2 linked regions of the Ovis aries genome follow. Each later gene encodes a partner of the first gene's protein in a complex. Links are inferred from orthologs where the notes say so. Each region holds a gene or a part of one and is shown on either strand. Other genes may lie near its edges.

What was found.
Region 2: the proteins of NMUR2 (region 1) and NMU are in contact, whole or in part, in a cryo-EM structure (PDB 7XK8), measured with the Homo sapiens proteins. The link is inferred for Ovis aries from reciprocal best matches to the Homo sapiens genes NMUR2 and NMU. Residues at the interface, in NP_064552.3 of Homo sapiens: Ser42, His43, Gly98, Glu102, Glu105, Met106, Trp107, Arg108, Asn109, Tyr110, Pro111, Thr123, Phe126, Glu127, Asn181, His185, Pro199, Ser201, Thr203, Cys204, Val206, Tyr213, Phe284, Arg288, Phe291, Glu295, Trp297, Ser298, Glu299, Ala302; in NP_006672.1 of Homo sapiens: Glu146, Phe152, Ala153, Ser154, Gln155, Gly158, Tyr159, Phe160, Leu161, Phe162, Arg163, Pro164, Arg165, Asn166.

Annotation. Positions count from the first base shown.
Region 1 is NC_056058.1:61,405,969-61,411,628, reverse strand, and holds the start of NMUR2 (neuromedin-U receptor 2), read left to right. Parts: upstream 1-1,942; 5' UTR 1,943-2,104; coding exon 2,105-2,821; intron 2,822-5,660. UniProt on the Homo sapiens protein: Receptor for the neuromedin-U and neuromedin-S neuropeptides.
Region 2 is NC_056059.1:71,781,687-71,787,407, reverse strand, and holds the start of NMU (neuromedin-U), read left to right. Parts: upstream 1-2,183; 5' UTR 2,184-2,281; coding exon 2,282-2,390; intron 2,391-5,721.

The DNA of each region.
Region 1 (5,660 bases):
TGAGACACTGTGCTGAACAGCAGAAATTAACACAACACTGCAAATCAACTATACTTCAATAAAAAATATTTTTAATGCATCACATTAGTTTAAGGATGAGATGGTGGCAATGAGAAAGATGTTATTAGAGGCTGGAAGAATCCATAGCGGAGGCTGATGAGTTGTCGTTTGATTTATAGGTCTCTGGAACGAAAGGAGCCACATACAGATCTGACGGAGGGCAAACCATGTGTGTACATATTGTTCACAATAGTGCCTAGGAAGAATAAGTGCTCAATAAATATGAGCTATTGTAATTTTTTGAAAGCTTTACATAGTTGCCACTTGTACCCCCACATCACATCCCCCTGCCCCCCTGATTTCTACTCCTATTCAGACACAACTGTAAAAGTCTAGGAACTCTGAGTGGGTCGTGGTTTTCTATCCATCAGATCTGCATGTGTCTTCTCCTGTTCCAGATACCTGTAAACTAAAGAACAAATTATCAGTCCCCCACCACCACCACCATGGATCCTTCCAGCCTCTAATAGCATCTTCGTCACTGCCCACTATCACCCTTAGACAAACGGCATGTATTTTATTTTGGCCCACAGCTACAGAGAGTAGCCCTGTGCTTGTTCAGATTTACCTCTGTTGATAGAGTTACACAGTGAATTCATTCTGCACGTCTATTTTCTTACCCATAATATGGAAGCCTGTTCAATCCATGGGCAAGAACAGTCCAGAGACATAAGGGAATTATTGCCCCCAGGAGCAATCCTCCTGCTCAAAACTGTCCATAGATTCTCTGCGGCTTGAACCAGATCCAAAGTCCCTGCAGTTTAAATAAGATCCAAACTTATTATCAGATCCTAGAAAAATGTATATAATATGGTCCCTTCCAGTCTTTTCGATCTCAACTCTCATATTCTCCTGTCCACTCATTAAGTTCCAGCTGCAGTGGCCTTCTTGATGTTTTTGAAACACATCAAGCTCATTACTGCCTCAAGACCTCTGTACTTGCTATTACTTGTTCTGGGAATACACTTCCCTTAGCTCTTACATGATTGATCTTTCATCAGTCAGAACTCAGCCCAAATGACATCTTGATTAAAAGAAAGAACAGCTGTAGCCTTATGTTTGTATGGCCCCTTTTCTTCACAGCACGGATTATGACGTGCAACTCTATTAATTCACTTATTAGTTTGCTTGGGCATTTTCAGAAATCTCTACCAGAAGAAACGTTCACATGGGCAGAGACTTCATCTTGTTTGTTCACTGATGTTGCTTCAAAGCCTTGAACACTCCTTGGTACACAATAAATCCTCAAGAAGTATGTATTGAATACAATAACACAACTCTTCAGTTAACAGATAAGAAAATGTAGATCTGAGAGTTTGAGTTACTTTCCCAAAGGTTTACAGAATTTCTTACAGGTGTGCCTGATTCTAAATCCTTTTGCTTCAGCAAGGTACTGTCAAAAATGAAGTGTCAGAAAGCAGGCAGGGCTAGGTGATGAGCAGGTGTTGGATTCTATCATGGAGGCAATCAAAGCCAAAAAGGCATACTGATCACACTTTGCCCCAGGAGCCCTGAATTTTCAATGGAACAAGATACTTGAAAAATCTATTGATCTCCCATTTTTGTTATGCTGTACAGGTGACGAGGATTTGTACTTTTCTACGCACAACGTTGCAACCTCAATTTGTATTTCCACCCAGATTCCCACAACTTTGCAGAATGCACTGCTCTGAGTGCCCACACCTTACCTAATCTAGTGCCACCGTTTATGACAGTTCTGCGTTCCCAGCTCCTTCCAATTCAGAGAAACGTCTCCCCTCCTCTCCGGCTCCCTGCTCAGGAAACCAGCGCGCCCCACCCAGCTGCCCTCTCACTGAACGTCTGACAAGTGCATTGGCCCACAGCCCGCGAAGGGGCGGGGCTTCTGTCTCGGGGGCTCTTCAAAAGGGATCCGAGGTCTGAGCAGTTTCTGAAGCACTAGCCCTCTCCGGGCCTCCTTCCCCAAGCCTGTGCTTTCCTGCCTGCTTTCTTTTTCTTTTCTGGCTCAGCTTGGGAAAGAGGCTTATTCCCGAGGAGGCTCAGGTCTTGCATTTTAATAGCAGTTATGGAAAAACATGAGAATGTTTCCTGGATCTACCAACAGGAACTGGAAGATCCCTTCAAGGAATACCTGAACAACACAGACGACTACCTAGCTTTGCTCTGCGGGCCTCGTCGCAGCCACCTCTTCCTCCCGGTGACTGCGGTGTATGCTCTGATTTTTGTGGTGGGGGTCGTTGGCAATCTCCTGGTGTGCCTGGTGATTCTTCGACACCAGACGATGAAGACCCCCACCAATTACTACCTCTTCAGCTTGGCTGTCTCCGACCTCCTAGTCCTGCTTCTCGGGATGCCCCTGGAGGTCTATGAGATGTGGCGCAACTACCCCTTCCTGTTTGGGCCGGTGGGCTGCTACTTCAAGACGGCCCTCTTCGAGACCGTGTGCTTCGCCTCCATCCTCAGCGTCACCACGGTCAGCGTGGAGCGCTACGTGGCCGTCCTCCACCCGTTCCGGGCCAAACTGAAGAGCACCCGGCGCAGGGCCCTCCGCATCCTCGGCATCGTCTGGGGCCTCTCTGTTCTCTTTTCTGTGCCCAACACCAGCATCCACGGCATCAAGCTCCACTACTTCCCCAACGGGTCCTTCATCCCAGGCTCTGCCACCTGTACAGTCATCAAGCCCATGTGGATCTATAATTTCATTATCCAGGTCACCTCCTTCCTCTTCTACATCCTCCCCATGACGGTCATCAGTGTCCTCTACTACCTCATGGGGCTCAAGGTGAGTATCCAGACTGGCTGCAGTCCTTAAGGTGGCGTTCCTTCTGTTTTCTCTGACTCAAAGTTCAGAGAAACACTTAGAACTGGAGAAATTCAGAACTGGAAGGAACCTTAGAGAAAAACAGGGTGAACTCAGAGGGGAAATTCAGAAGCTAACAGACTGGCTTTCAGTTGGACAGACAGTAACCACAGCTATAAATCATTTTCCTTAACTCACTTTTCATCATTCTTCCCTCTGTAACTGTGGTTCTCAAACCTAGGTATTCCTACAAACCACCTTGAAACTTTACTATGGGAACTGATGTGTGGGTCCCTTCCTACAGAGAAGTCTGATTTAGTAGGTCTGGGATAGAGCTTCATTTTAAATAGCACAAGGCAGCCACCCCTGGAGAGACTGTTTCATACCCTGTGGTCTCTTTCCTGCCCTCACCTGCTTTGCCTGCACTGAAATTTTCCTCTGCACCTACTTGGTCTGAATATAAAATAAACTATCCCTGTGTAGTTTATCGGAGAAGGCAATGGCACCCCACTCCAGTACTCTTGCCTGGAAAATCCTATGGACACAGGAGCCTGACTGAGCGACTTCGCTTTCACTTTTCACTTCCATGCATTGGAGAAGGAAATGGCAGCCCACTCCAGTGTTCTTGCCTGGAGAATCCCAGGGACAGGGGGAGCCTGGTGGGCTGCTGTCTATGGGGTCGCACAGAGTCGGACATGACTGAAGTGACTTAGCAGCAGCAGTGTAGTTTATACTCCAAGACAGATATACAGTTTTAAAGTCAGATACTTCCTTGTGGTGGTTGCTTTGATCCTTTCGTAGAAATATCAGATTAAAATGCAAAAATATGGCCTGAGTGAAATCAACTGGACAAGTGGAGTTTGAAGGACAAAGAGGTAAACAGAGTGCCTAAAATAGATTAGAAGACAGTGTGAATAAGATATAGCTGGAATTAATAGAATATTATTACTTAGTTTGCAACATTTTATAATTAGGGTTTACCTTCATGTGCTCATGATGATAAACTTATTTCTTTTTTTTTTTTCTTTTTTTCTGGATCTAAATTATCTGAAACTGTTGTCTTGTTTTTAATGAAAGGAGAAGTGAGTCTGTATGATTCCTTTCCTGGTATATTCTGCATCAAAAATCACAGAGAGGAAAACTAAACATGACAGTTTTATACCCATTTAAGGAGGTAGTTATGTAGGAAATAGTCATGAGACCATTTAGACTCCGAGTTATGAAGCTCACATATAAGATGCCTTTAGGTAATGTCACACAATTCTCTCCTGGAATTAGATTTTGTATTTATAAAATGAGAAGTTTACATCAGATCTTATGTATTAGCACTCCTGATCACTCTAACAGTCTGTGGTTCCTTAAGAAAAGGAAAAGGAAATCTTTGAGTGGGAGCAATGTGAGTTACAAATGAAAGGAAAACAAAACAGGCATCACATTCACATCCTATGTTGTAAGATGGCTCTGGTACCATGTATTATGTGGTAATTAATATACTCCCATCTCAGTGCATCTCTGAGAAAGTTGTATGTCAAAAATGAGTGTCCCACAGGTGGTCCTTTCGAATGAATACTGTGCCTAAAGTGAATGGCAAAGTCGAAGGTGGAAGAACAGATTTTTCAGTACACAGGAGTAAATCTAATCAGGCAGAGAACTTTGCCAGTCTCCTCCTGGTGGACTGGCCCCTGTAATTCCAGAGACATGTGCCAAACCAGACTAGCTCACAGTCACCATGTCTTTAGCAAGCCCTGTGCATCGCACTGTGGGGAAAGGACTTCTGCATGATTCCATGAGCCCTATGAGAAATGTCCACCCCAAATGTACCAATACAATCTCTACTAACAGTGAACCATCACTTGTCTCAGGTTAAATTGGAGGAACTATCTAACTCTGAATAGGAAACACATGTTTCCCTTTCCAAACAATTACTTGAAGTGTCGCTTTGTTGTGATGTCATGAGTCTACTGCTCCCTGGTTATCAGGAGCTATGTGATAGATAACAGCTGAGAAACCACCCCAGTCTGCTTTGTGTATACAGTGCAACTTACAGCATCCTATTCTCAGGAAGGATGAGGTGTTACCCAGAGGACACTGGAAAGGAACTATATGCTTAGAATGTCTCTTCTATAGGAATTTAAAGATTTCTAGACTGGGAGTCAAAAGTAGACCCTAATCTGTGGCATTGATCTCAAGACCTTTGCACCTTTTGCTGTTTTTTTTTTGTTTTTTGTTTTTTTGTTTGTTTGTTTGTTTTTGCCGGAAACATCCCTACTGCCCACCACCACAATCCTTTTTGCCTTTCTAACTCTCACATATCCTTTAAGTCATACTTTATTCACACTTACTCCGGGAAGTTCTCCCTGATTCCCTAACTGCCTGGTTCCCCTGTAGATGCTCATGATTCCTAGCAATTTCCCATCATTGCATTTATCACAATTTATAATTCTATATTTGTGGGTTCCTTAACTTCCTCTCCAACTAGACTGTAAGATCAGTGAATGAGTGAATGAGCCAAAATTATTTCCTTTATTGTTGGACTTCACCTTCTCTACCTTCAAAATAGGAGACATGGAAATGTTCTCTCAGAGGGCTTTTTTGATCTGAAAGATTTTAAAGAGATTTGTTCAACTCTGATGAGTACTGATTCTCATGGCAAATCTAAAGATATGACTGAATCTGGACAAATGCCTTCAGAAGGCAGAAAACCAAGACTGATGAAATCCCAGGAGCAAAAGAGAAGGAAGGGAGCCATATGAGGGCTCAAAATTGACCACTCAGAGATTCTTCATCATTCCAGGACTCAAGTCTCCAATGAGCTGCTCTC
Region 2 (5,721 bases), on another chromosome or scaffold:
AAACCAGAGCCCCCTCCACCCACCCACATCCTTACTTCATTTACATCCTCTGTACTCAATGTTTTTTCACTACTTTGGGAATAAATAAAAGCACATGCAATCTTAAATCTATTCTCATCCATCTTTGAACCAGGACCAGACTCCATATAATATGGCCTTGCTCACGTGTTTCATGGATATAAAGAACTTTAAAGTGTAGGCATTGCTTTTTCACTCTATCAGGGTTACTCTCTTGCCTCTCTGTATTTATGACAGAGCATTATCCCATTGGCCTTGTAATACAGCTATTTGAGTATAGATTTGGGGTCCTTTATCAAACTGTAATATCCTTTAGGAAGACTAGTAAATGTATCCTTAAGGACATGCCTTGCCTGTAGTGGACTGTACAGTGCATGTCTGATACATTAAAATCCCTGATTTAGAGGAGAAGCATCTTTACAGAGTAGAATGACCAGTGGCTCCCTCACATGCTGGTATCTCTCTCTATATATATGTATATAAAGTCACTCAGTCGTATCCAACTCTTTGTGACCCCATGGACTATACAGTCTATGGAATTCTCCAGGCCAGAATACTGGAGTGGGTAACCTTTCCCCTCTCCAGGGGATTTTCCCAACCCAGGGATCAAACCCAGTTCTCCCACATTGCAGGCAGATTCTTTACCAGTTGAGCCACAAGGGAAGCCTGATATCCTTGGGTGGATTGTTTAATATCTCCAAGCTCATCAAGTGAGAATCATAATAAAGTACTTTCACATCCCCGAGATGCCATGAATATTAAATGCATAGCATGGGAAGGTGCCTGACATAAAGATGTCCCTTAAGAAATGTTAGTGTATTTCCTTTTCTACCCTTCCCTCAGCGTTCCTTTCAAAAGGAGGTCAAATAAGATCCCTCTTCCTTGTTTCTGGAAGAGGAAATTAAGGCCACATCAGCTAGTGCGCTGGAGAAGTCTGTTTCATGGATATTTCCCCCTAGGAAGGAAACTGCAGAGAGGGATAATAGAAGTCAGGTCACTCTGGAAATCAGAATGCAACTGCTAGGAAGTGACAGCAGGAGAAATGCACAGAAAGGAAGGTGTTACCTTGAGGCTTGCAATTCCGCAGGAGAGTCAAGACCTTCCAGAACTTAGAAAGGTCTATGTGGTCAAGCCTCAGCAGTCCTTTTTTTTTTTTTTTTTTTAACTGTCTTTAACAGACAACTGCTTTCCCCTAAAAGATCTCAGACCTGATAGGAATTTGGGGAACACCATCCCTGGTGCCTTAGAGGGTAAAGAATCTGCCGGCAATGTGGGAGACCTGGGTTCTATCCTTGGGTTGGCAAGATCCCTTGGAGGAGGGCATGGCAACCCACTCCAGTATTCTTGCCTAGAGAATCCCCATGGGCAGAGGAGCCTGCCGAGCTACAGTCCATGGGGTCGTAAAGAGTCGCGATTGAACGACTAAGCACAGCACCACCTTCCCTGGTGGCTCAGTCGGTAAACAATCTGCCTGCAGTGCAGGAGGCCCAGTTTCGATCCCTGAGTTGGGAAGATCCCCTGGAGAAGGAAATGGCAACCCACTCTGGTATTCTTGTCTGGAAAATTCCATGGACAGAGGAGACAGGTGGGCTGCAGTCCATGAGGTCGCAAAGATCGGACATGACTGAGCGACTAACACTAACTATCCACCATGAGCCAGTACTGCTCTAAGATTCCCTGGGCGTGTACCAAGAGCTGGGGATGAACAGGGCAACAGAACAGAAGTGCTTGCACCGAGGTGGCTCCTGGAGCTCTGGACAAGAGGTGCCGCACAGTCGGGTGGGGCAGAGAAGGCTTTCCGGGGAGGGTGCAGACGGGTCGTCTCTGGCAGAGCATCGCCACCACCAAGTGTAAAAGCCGGGATACCAGCCTCTGCTGGCCGCCTGGTTTGCATTCCCCTCCGGCTCCCCTTCAGTGCTTCCAAAGAAGGGAATAGACATGCTTCATTTTAATTCTATGACCCTCCATTCCAGAGACCCTAGGGCGAGGAGGGTGAAAGATGCATGGTACCCTGAGTCAGAAACTCGTGCATGGGGTGCGGGGTGGGGCGGGTTGCGAGTGACGCGAGGAAGGCCGGGGGCGGGAGGTGACGCGCGCGCGGGGACCTAGCCGCCTCAGCTCACGTGTCCGCGAGATTTAAAAGTTGGCAGCGCGTGGGGCGGTCTGTCTGGACGCGGAGCCGGGAGAACAGCGCGCCGGGGACGCGGAAGCTCAACCGGAGCACTGCTCGGAGCGCGCGGCAGGTGCAGCGCAGGGTCCCGGGATGCTGCGAGCCGCGAGCCGTCGCCCCGAGCCGCCGGCGGGGCATGTGGCCGCCGGGTCCCCGCTCCTGCTGCTGCTACTGCTGTCTTGTTGCGCGGACGACTGCGGAGGTAAGAGGACCCCGCGCCCCCTGGGACACCCGCGCCGCGTCCAGTCCAGTGCCTCCTCTCCCCGCTCCGTTCCTCGATCTCTTATCTCCTTTTCTCGTCTTTACTCTTGGCTGGTGGGATTTGCCACACCTTCGTGCCGCGGCGCACGGGTCGCCACCTCAGGGTAGCCAGGGCGCACGTGTCTGTGGCCCGGCTCGAGCCTGGACCTGGGCCTGGGGGAATCTCGCAAGCCGGGCAGCCCCCTCAGACTCGGGATGTCCAGCCCGCTTGATTTATGGGTAACGGGAGTTAAAACAGTGAAAATTAAAATGCTCTTCCTTTGATTGCAATTACTGGAGGGATTGACAGTGAAGCAAAACTAGAGTGGGTGTGATGCGAGGTCAACTTGGAAAGTGCTCACCTTTCTTGGTGAGTGAGCTCCAGGACTGTTCAGGCAAGCCTGAGCAGTAACAAGCCCCTTTCTAGCAGAATGGAAAGGGAGAGCGTGGGCTCTGTGCTTCGATAGTAACAAGGACTTCTGTGCCTCACTTAGAGGAAGTGAAAGTGTTAGTTGCTCGGTCGTGTCCGACTCTTTGAGACCCCACGGAGAGTAGCCCGCCAGGCTCCTCTGTCCTTGGGATTCTCCAGGCAAGAATACTGGAGTGGGTTGCCGTTTCCTCCTCCGGGGTATCTTCCCGACCCAGGGATTGAACCTGGGTCTCCTGCATTGGCAGGCAGAATTCTTTACCATCTGAACCACCAGTGAAGCCGTGGCCTAGAGGGAAGATGGGGGGAAAGCAAAAGCAAGGTCTGGAAGGGGTGTCCGAATCTTGGGACTTGGGGTAGGGTAGATATAACCTGTTCCAGTGGAAAAGATCACTTCCCTGCTCCCTTAAGGTTACCTTTCCAAGTAGCCTGAGGGGACCATCCCTCATCTCCCAGCTTTGAGCTAGGGCCCTCCTGGGCCAGCGGTAGCCCTACTAAGATCTTGAATTTTCTAGATCCGCAACGGGTCCCCTTAGTTTCCCTCTGCTCTCCTCTCAGTCCTGTAAGGGAGGGCCGTTTCATCATTGTCCGTAATGTTAGGACTTGAAGCGATTAGTGTGGGAACCTTCCCTAACCTGTAGCCCAGCCCCCTTTTAGAGGTGGGGGAACTGACACATCATTCTTTTCCTAATAGAGCTATTTTTATTGCTGTCCTTTCATTGTTTTCCCCCTTTCCTTGGGGCATTTGAGATTCAGAGAGGTGGGGACTCCTCGGCTTGAAAAGCAGGGTAATTTGGTTGTGAAATGTAAGCAGTAGAAGCTAGGAGACCTAAACCTTCTCCATTGCATATTCAGCAGCGATACAGCATGCCTTTTGCAAAGTCACGTTCATCTTTTTCCGTTTTAAATTTGTTATTGGTAAAATTAAGATGGTCGCTTTTATCTACCTTATTCAGAAAGCAGATGGTCACAGTTTAATTTTTTCTCTGCGAAGCAAATATACTTTCCATGATGTTAAGTACTATATGCTTGCAGTGAATTTTGCATCAGTGAGAGAGAACTTTTAGCAGGGAGATACAGGGGAATTTTCAGGCTACTGGTGATTGGGCAGAAACTACAGGAAGCAGCAGCCATTTTCTAAAAACAGCAAGTTTTGGGTGTTGTTTCCAAAAGAGGGTATCTACTGGTTGACCAATCATCTCTTAAATATCCCCACTGTTTCTCAAGTTAAGGGATGAGATACCTCTTTCCCTACACAGAAATCCCCCTAGACTACCCTTTTGTGTCTTCTTTCCCCTTCAGACCTGCTGTTAATACTAAAAAATTAATTTTATCTCTCTAAAAATGTGATGAGAAGGGAAGAGGGTGCATTTACTCTCATCTGATCTGCCCTGGTGATCTGCTATATTCCTGAGCCCTGACAATTAGCACTGGAGGGGAAGCTTGACATACAGAAGCGAAGCCGGGAGACAATCCACCAAGGTTAATCATTATGCAAGGTGCAAGTGGATGTATCAAAAAAACAAAGCAAATGCCACAAAGCCGGGTCGGGGTGGGCGGGGTCGGGGGGGGGCCGGAATTGTGTCAATAAGTGTAGCATCCTCAGCAAAAATGTGTTAGCAGAGCTGCAATGGCAATAAAAAGGTAAAGGGCCAGCCACAGAATTGGTGGCTGGAAACAGTTTACCATTCAAAGAACATTAAAATGAAGACAGAAATTTCCTAAAAGAGAGGTACCTTTGGATATCTGCAACAAACTATCTCTTGACACGGCCTCTGACAAGAAGTGATGAAGTGCTCAAGACTAAATTAAGAAGTGTCTTTTCCTACTCATGAAATAGTTCTTGAAATTCAGTCAGCAGTAATGATTTCTGATTTCCAAATCCTACACTGGCTAAGTACTAGCAATGAGAAAAGATAATGGACACTACTTTTAGAATAGCAGGATCTGCTTTTCTTTCTCTTACACATGGTATATTTACAGATGCCCAAGCTGTTGATCCATATTATTTGCATTAGTTATATTGTTCAGTATAAAACGAAAGATTTCCCGTTATGAGATAGTGTTAAATATAAGTGTCTTGAAATTGATCAAAAATAGTGCAGTTGTTAATACAACATTGTAAGTCAACTGTGTGTGAGCACTTAGTTGTGTCCAACTCTTGGTGACCCCATGGATCGTAGCCCACCAGGCTCCTGTCTATGGAATTTTCCAGCCAATAAAACCGGTGTGGGTTGCCATTTCCTACTCCAGGGGATCTTTTGGACCCAGGGATCAAACCCAACATTGGCAGGCAGATTCTTTACCACTGTGCCACCTGGGAAGCTCTACTGTTAATAAAAGTCCTACTTTTAATAAAAATTAAAAGCAAAAACAACAACAAAAAAATCCAATGCTGTTTTCAGGATATAGAAGAGAGTGGCACTGTCCTGACAGTATTTGGGAAAGTGTCTAGCACTACTATTTGATAATGTAAAGCCCGCATCCTGGGTATGTTGAGAGGAGAAGGGCATCAACTTTAGTTAACAAATAGACAAAAGGCACATTTTTTCCTCTTATGTTTGGATTCAGCCATAGGATATTAATGCTTTTCTACAAATTATAGGTAAACATTTAAAAATTCTGGTTTCTCTAACCTTTCTACCCTGAGACTGTGCTTATGTGTTTTGTGTAAGAGCCACAAAGTATCCCTTTTTTATTATAGAAATACTTGGGACTAAGTTAGACAGTGGCAGTTTTGGTGTGGCCCGGGCCAGCTTGGGGACATGGAAGGAGACAAAGTCTCAAAGATCTTGGTAAGGCTGTAGGTAGGGGGTGCTTCCACTTTTACTGGAGGGTGGAGGATAGTCAAGCAAAGAAAGAATAT